Linked DNA regions of Oryctolagus cuniculus. Each later gene encodes a partner of the first gene's protein in a complex. Links are inferred from orthologs where the notes say so. Each region holds a gene or a part of one and is shown on either strand. Other genes may lie near its edges. The genes, in order: ORC3 and ORC5.

Region 1 (3,824 bases):
TATTTGCTTTTGTGTAGTGGAACCATCTTGCTAGTACGTACTGTTAACTTAGTCCTATGAAGAATAATCACGTATTTTTTTAAAGAAAATCTGAGTTGTTCCATGTTTAGAGTTCTTGGGGAATTGGTACTCTGTAAGTATATTTAACAAACAGACAAATAAAAAGAAGTTCCATTCTACATTATGGCCTCTGGAGAAAATGTATAACCTAGGTGATTCAAGATAACTGCAATGTAAAACTTCAGCTTTATTTCATGATGCTGTGTAACCAGACAAGTTAGGGAAAAAATGAGGTGGTGACATTTTTCCAATTAACGTTTTTGCTACAGTCATCATGAGAGAAGTTTCATTTTGCTTCATATAGGAACTAATGCTTATTAATTCAGTCTACAATTTTAAATTTTCTGGGAATCAAACACTACTTACAGTTGATATCAGGAATCTTTAGAAGATTATATTTGGGCCAGGTGATACTTAAGGCTCATTGTTGTTGTTTATTTTGTGGGAGACACAGAGAGAGAAAGACACGAGCAGATAGAGCTTCCAACCACTGATTTACTTCACAAATGCACACAGTGGCTGGGGCCAAACCAAGACGGGGGGAATTCAGTCCAGGTCTCCCAATTACTTGAGCCATCACCATTGCCCCCAGGGTCTGTATTGGCAGAACACTGGAGTCAGGAGCCAGAGCTGTATATTGAACCCAGGTATTCCTCCAATGTGGAATGTGTATGCTAAACCAATGTCTTAACTAGGCCAAATGCCCACCCCTTAAGGTCCTTTTTAAGCCTGAAATTTCATAATAGCAGAGCAGCAAGTAGTGCTATTTTTATGCTTTCTAATTAAGAATACTAGGACTTCTTAAGCAAAACAAAATATAACTTTCTACTGGTAGAAAAATCAATTTTGAAAATTTTCTTCCCATTTTTCTTGTCATTCTTCCCAGCAAAAAATATAAATATTTTATATACACTATAAATTTTACTGCACCTTTTTCTTCTTGTTTATTATTCCCATGTTAGAATGATTCTGCTAGTAACTGTTGAAAGGAGTTTCTATTATATAGAAGAAATAAAAGAAACAATGTTACTGTGAAGTGTGAAGGGAAATATGTCAAATGTGGCACTGTAGCTTTGTTTGGGTGATAAAGCTTACTTTTTAACTCCTTCTTTCCATAATGGCTTAAAAAGAAGACAGAACCAAAAATTCCAAGCAAAAAGAGGACTACTTCTAGCCAATGGCATTCTCCTCCTGTTGTGCTTATCTTAAAAGATATGGAAAGCTTCACTACAAAAGTGCTCCAAGACTTCATACTAATGAGCAGGTATTTGGTTTGTCACCTGGGTTTTGTGCAAAATTCTTTTTTATTAAGAAAAAGTATTCCTTTTACCTTAAAAAGCATAATCTTCATTTTGAGTCCAACTGGACAAAGCTCAAAATGATACCAAATTTTTTCATTAAATGTTCAAATACATTTCAGATTTTTCATTTGCTTCTTAACTCAAGAACAGGAATCACAAACTTAGCCCATTTTTAATGAACGTGGTAAGGCAGTATAAAGTATAGTTTATTTCACCAAAGTCTGTTGTGCCTTAAATGGGATAAACTACTCCAGATGGAGATAATTTATTAGATCATTTTTTTTAAGATTTATTTATTTATTTGAAAGAGTTACACAGAGAGAGTAGGGGAGGCAGAGAGAGAGAGAGAGGTCTTCCGTCCGCTGGTTCACTCCCCAATTGGCTGTAATGGCCAGAGCTGCGCTGATCCGAAGCCAGGAGCCAGGAGCTTCTTCTGGGTCTCCCCTGTGGGTGCAGGGGCCCAAGGACTTGGGCCATCATCCACTGCTTTCCCAGGCCACAGCAGAGAGCTGGATTGCAAGTGAAGCAGCCAGGACGCGAACCCGCCCCGATATGGGATGCCGGTACTGCAGGCAGTGGCTTAACTTGCTGTGCCACAGCGCTGGCCCCAATTTACTACATCTTTATGATAACTAGGCAGTCTTAGAGGCTTTGAGTTGCACATAGCTTTACTAAGCAAGAATATTTTCCAAATAGCACTACCTTAGATTTATGTATTTCTAGTGAAAAACTGTATTTAATATATTTTGACTTTCTCTAAATGTCAACTTGGCTTAATACTTAACTCCATTTGCCTAAAACCATACTGTGTATAATATACTAACACACTTGAAATTTGTATTTTCATAGAATTTTTTTTGTCTTGACTTTAAGAGTTCTAGCTGCCAGGACTTTCCTTCATGCTAACACTGATGTGCCTACCATGCTGAGGAAGTCAACTACAAAAAATTACACTTTTTAGAGCTCAGGCTTCTGACTACTCTATCCATTAAAAGTAAAGACAAACTTAACAGGCAGAGAGTGAGGTACTTTACATCTATGAAGGTAGTACTGTGTATAGCTAAAACACTGAAAAGCAGTGGCTAACAGGAGAGAGTAATCAAAATCATTTAGTCATGATAGAGAGCTCTCTGTCTTGTAATAGTCCTCAAAGATAGTGCTGTTTTACCTCGTAGAAGTTATTTGTGTTTTTCTGGTAGTGTTAAAGTGTTCAGTTTGTTCAAGAATATGAGGAAGTGATATATCATTTTTAATGATGTCCATTAAGATGACTTTATATATGTGTAAAAAAGTTTTTTTTTTAAGATTTATTTTTTTATTTGAAAGGCAGAGTTACAGAGAGAGAGACATAGGAATATCTTCAGTTCGCTGGATCAGTACCTAAATGGCTACAACAGCCAGGACTGTGCTAAGCCAACACCAACAGCCTGGAACTCCATTCTGTCTCCATGGAGGTGGCAGGAAGCCAAGCACTTGGGCCACCCTCCACTGCTTTCCCAGGCACATTAACAGAAGGCTGGATCAGAAGTAAAGCATCCAGGACTCAACCCAGTGTTCATAGGGATGCCAGCTTTGTAGGTGGCACCTTAATCCACTGTGCTACAATGCCTACCCCAAGAAAAGTTTCCTAATCTTGGCTACTGTGACTGGATCACGAAGTGTCTATTAGAAATGCTTATAAATAGAATAAGTTGCCCTGAGTATTTAAGGAGCTCTATGTCACTGAATTATTGAAGCATAGGTTAGATGCCTAACTGTAAAGAAGATTGTAGGTATGACAGACTCTGAGGGAGAGGTTAGACTAAATGGTATCTAATATCTCTTCTAACACTTGAGATTATATAGCAGTAGTGGGGCATTTGATTTTTCTTGCCCTCTATGTTTTTATTTTTAAAATGAAAAGGAACCATTAATAGATTAATAGATTGAATTCAAAGCTAGAATGTCTTGGAAATAACTACTTCTATGTTACTTTAACAGAAGAAAATGAATGACCTAGAAAATTTTAGTATTTGGAATGATACTTGTTAGTGTCTGTGTGCAGTAAAGCTTGTCTTATCTTGTAGTACAGCATATTGAAATACGTTTACTAAAGAGATTTCACTTTTGTATCTTTCTTTGAAAACTAGTCAACATCTGCATGAATTTCCACTAATACTCATTTTTGGTATCGCCACATCTCCTATTATCATCCACCGGTTGCTTCCTCATGCAGTGTCATCTCTGTTGTGTATAGAGCTGTTCCAATCATTATCTTGCAAGGAGCACCTGACTTCAGTACTTGATAAGGTAAAAATTAAAAGTTTTACCAATGAAATAGAAGGAAAGGAAAACTACCAAGAATGGATTGTAAATATAAATGTTAATGATGTATCCCACATCTCTGAATGCAAAACTGAACATAGCGCTTTGCTTATCTTAATAGTTTTATGTAATAATTGTTATAACATTTTATAAGTAATT
Region 2 (3,824 bases), on another chromosome or scaffold:
TAAAAAATTAAATCCTTTGATTCTGTGATTTTTCCCCCCATGGATGAGACGTTATTGAAAATAAGGATTCCCCTTTTCTATTTTGGGTAACTTAAAAAAAATCAATTAATTAGCTAGGACAGGAGGTGATACTTGCCTGTTGTTCTTGTGAAAATAGGCAAAAATGTGTTGATCTTAACAATGAATATTTACAAAAGATAAATCCAGAGGGGTAGTGGTAGTGAGGCCAGCGTCATGGGATGCTATTTTTTTCTTTTTTCTTTTTGACAGGCAGAGTGGACAGTGAGAGTGAGAGAGACAGAGAAAAAGGTCTTCCTTTTGCCATTGGTTCACCCCCCAATGGCCGCTGCGGCCAGCATGCTGCAGCCGGCACACCGCAATGATCCGAAGGCAGGAGCCAGGTGCTTCTCCTGGTCTCCCATGGGGTGCAGGGCCCAAGCACTTGGGCCATCCTCCACTGCACTCCCTGGCCACAGCAAAGAGCTGGACTGGAAGAGGAACAACCGGGACAGAGTCTGGCGCCCCGACCAGGACTGGAACCTGGGGTGCCAGTGCCGCAGGTGGAGGATTAGCCTATTGAGTTGCGGTGCCGGCTGATGCTATTTTTTTCTTTAATTTTGTTTAAGGAATACAACTTCATGCATTTAATATAAACAAATTTGGGAACATGGTGATTCTCCCCCCCCCCCACTTCCCTCCCACCTATTCTCCCACCTTTCTTCCTCCTCCCTCTCCCTTTACCATTCTTATTTTTTACTGAGATCAATTTTCAATTAATTTTATACTAAAAAGGTTAACCCCCTAAGTAGAGAGTTCACCGAATAGTATGAAGAAAAAAAAAAGCACAAAAACAAACAAGAATAATACTGTTCATCAACAAGGCAAGGGATGTTATTTTTTCATACACACTTCACAGTTATAATCTTTGAATCAGAAGTTTTACACTTGTATACTGACAACAGAGTAGTAATCTACAAAGCTATTTAGCAACACAAAGAGCTAATGTGTTCTTACAAAGACAGAATTAATCAAGATCTATGAAATCTAAGTTTAAATTCAACCCCCTAAAAAAGACATTTAAGAGTTAGTGGCTGGTACTACAAAAGTTACAAGAATGAAAAACAAGATTCACAAAATCAAAAGATATATTACACATGGTATTTTAACCCAATTTTATTATAAATAAATGTTTCAATATAATTTTAGTATGCTTCGTCATTATAGTCTACTTTAATCGTATGGATATCATAATTGCTGCATATTTTAATGTACCAACTAAAAAATGATAAAAATATGCTGTTAGCACAAAGATATAAAAGTTGCTCATTCAAAAAATTTCAGGACTTATACAAGAATAATTCCTCAAAGTTTCAAATTATAACTTCAAAAATATAGTACAGAAATATAAAGGACACTGTATTTGAAATTGGCAGTGTACCTTATCAGTTCAGAACACATCCCACTTTAAACACGCTAGCTTAATCTTTCAAACAACATTAAATCTACTGAATATCATTTGCCAAAACAATCTTTAAAAATTTACCTATGCTATAATCAGGGAAATACAAGACAAATGGTTCAAAGCATCCAGTATTTGGACGAAACTTTTCCCAAACAATTTCACTGAGAAATATAACAGTCACATTTCGGTCAGTCTGTAAAAGAAAAAAAAAAAAAAAGCTTTGCATTTAAAAGTATTAATCAAAGCAATAATTCCATTTACATTTTTCCTTTAAAAATTCCAGGAAGGGTGGTACTAATGGCATCTTACATGTTAAAGTGATCATTTTAAGTGTGTAACTGATCATACAGATAGGAATAAGTGTCAAAGGGATCATATAAATAAGATCAGTTATCTGCTAATAACAATATAATTAAAAAGGAGAGAACGATTCTACATGGAAAGCAGGCCACACAGCAGACTTAGAATGACAAATGCCCTAAACAGCACTCTGACCTCAGAATCAGCCCTTAAGATATTCTGATCTGGCTGAAAAGCCCATGAGAGCATTTCAGGAATGGAAAGCCAAGACACTGTGGCAAAAAAAATGACCTAAATCAAAGATCTCTGTGAGTGAGAGCCTTGGCAGCTCATGACAAGAGTCTCGGGTGATTGCTGACATCATAAATAAGAGTGTCAATTGTTAAATCAACAACAGGAGTCACTGTGCACTTATTCCCTATGTAGGACCTCTGTTCTCAATGAATTCTACTATCAGAATAACAGTAAAACTTGTCATCAAACAGTACTTTATACATTCTGTGTCTGTGTGGGTGCAAACTGTTGAAATCTTTACTTAGTATAGAGCTGGTCATCTGTATATAAAGATAATTAAAAATGAATCTTAATGAAGAATGGGATGGGAGAGGGAGTAGGAAATGGGATGGGAAGAGGGGTGGGAAGGAGAGTATGGGAGAAGAACCACTACTTTCTTAAAGCTGTACCTATGAAATTTGTATGTATTAAATACAAGCTTTCTAAAAAAATTTTTAAATTCCAGTGCAATTTTAACATAAAACACATCATTTGTATGTTATTTTAGAAAACCTAATCATCTACTTGCAAATATTCAATATATCTGTTCTCAAGGATGTTAAGATAGTCACATGAGATTTACTTTAGAAATTAAGAAAAACACTTACTTGAATAATTAAGACAAAACTTTTATGTAAATTCTCAAAAAAATCATAAGCTTTCATCAGTAAATTTAAAAAGGCAAAGCTTATCATTTCTCATCATTAAAAAAGCTTCAGCAACCCACAGAAAAGTTAATATGCAGTTAAAGGAAAATAGATATGCCATATCTATCCCCCATAACAGCGCATACTAGGAACATTAAAGGTTTTCCTTAAGGTTATGTTTACATCAATCGCTAAGTAAAACTGATGTTCAATAAACAATAAAAGCTCAAACTACGAGTATTATCATCTAGAACATCAACATTAAGCAAAACACTTATCTTTTGAAATATTCATATATGTAGAAATTACTATATCAACAAAAAATACTAAGAGAGCCTGTTATCATACTATAGCATGGCCATAATTGTCCTAAACAAGCTAGCTGACATTTTGTGTATTCATCTCTGCATTCTCTACACAAACTTTAATTTTCTCCATATTATTTTGGCATTCCTAGGCTAACAAAGCAGAAAGAAAGCTGTTTTGGTCAGCAGTGGATGACCCTAGAACCAGTCTTCCACATAAACTGTACTGTATATTTTTTAAAGATTTTTTTTTATGTATTTGACAGGTAGAGTTATAGACAGTGAGAGAGAGAGACAGAGAGAAAAGTCTTCCTTCCGTTGGTTCACCCCCCCAAATGGCCGCAACGGCCGGAGCTGTGCCGATCTGAAGCCAGGAGCCAGGTGGCCCAAGCACTTGGGCCATCCTCCATTGCCCTCCCGGGCCACAGCAGAGAGCTGGACTGGAAGAGGAGCAACTGAGACTAGAACCCGGCACCCATATGGGATGCCGGCACCACAGGCGGAGGAGGATTAACTTAATGCATCATGGTGCTGGCCCCTATACTGTATTTTGACACTGAGTGATTTACTGATTCCTTACCTGTATGATTTTCATTGCTTATTTAGTTAACAAAAAGATCTGAATACATAATTCCACAGAAAATTTAACATCTCTATGAGAGGAAAGGATTTTTATTTCCAAATGCTTTGTCTTACAAATTCACTTTTTTTTAGATTTATGTTATTTATTTGAAAGACAGAACCACAGAGTGAAGGAGAGACAGAAGGAAAGATCTTCCATTCACTGGTTCACTCTCCAAACAACCGCAAAGACCAGAGCAGAGCTGATCTGAAGCC

Evidence for each region.
Region 2: the proteins of ORC3 (region 1) and ORC5 are in contact, whole or in part, in a cryo-EM structure (PDB 7JPO), measured with the Homo sapiens proteins. The link is inferred for Oryctolagus cuniculus from reciprocal best matches to the Homo sapiens genes ORC3 and ORC5. Residues at the interface, in NP_036513.2 of Homo sapiens: Glu99, Val109, Met144, Lys145, Leu148, His178, Ser180, Met181, Asp182, Glu223, Asp232, Ile235, Ile236, Gln239, His240, Ala253, Thr254, Ser255, Pro256, Ile257, Ile258, Ile259, Arg261, His265, Ser269, Cys272, Ile273, Glu274, Leu275, Ser280; in NP_002544.1 of Homo sapiens: Asn62, Val64, Glu65, Phe67, Thr68, Arg70, Leu71, Gln75, Tyr129, Leu270, Arg271, Ser274, Ser275, Ser276, Gln277, Leu294, His297, Thr298, His299, Val300, Glu301, Leu302, Pro303, Tyr304, Tyr305, Ser306, Asp360, Tyr367, Arg373, Pro376.

Annotation. Positions count from the first base shown.
Region 1 is NC_091436.1:84,931,184-84,935,007, reverse strand, and holds part of ORC3 (origin recognition complex subunit 3), read left to right. Parts: intron 1-1,190; coding exon 1,191-1,324; intron 1,325-3,490; coding exon 3,491-3,650; intron 3,651-3,824. UniProt on the Homo sapiens protein: Component of the origin recognition complex (ORC) that binds origins of replication. DNA-binding is ATP-dependent. The specific DNA sequences that define origins of replication have not been identified yet.
Region 2 is NC_091434.1:140,254,714-140,258,537, reverse strand, and holds part of ORC5 (origin recognition complex subunit 5), read right to left. Parts: intron 1,656-3,824; coding exon 1,544-1,655; intron 1-1,543. UniProt on the Homo sapiens protein: Component of the origin recognition complex (ORC) that binds origins of replication. DNA-binding is ATP-dependent. The specific DNA sequences that define origins of replication have not been identified yet.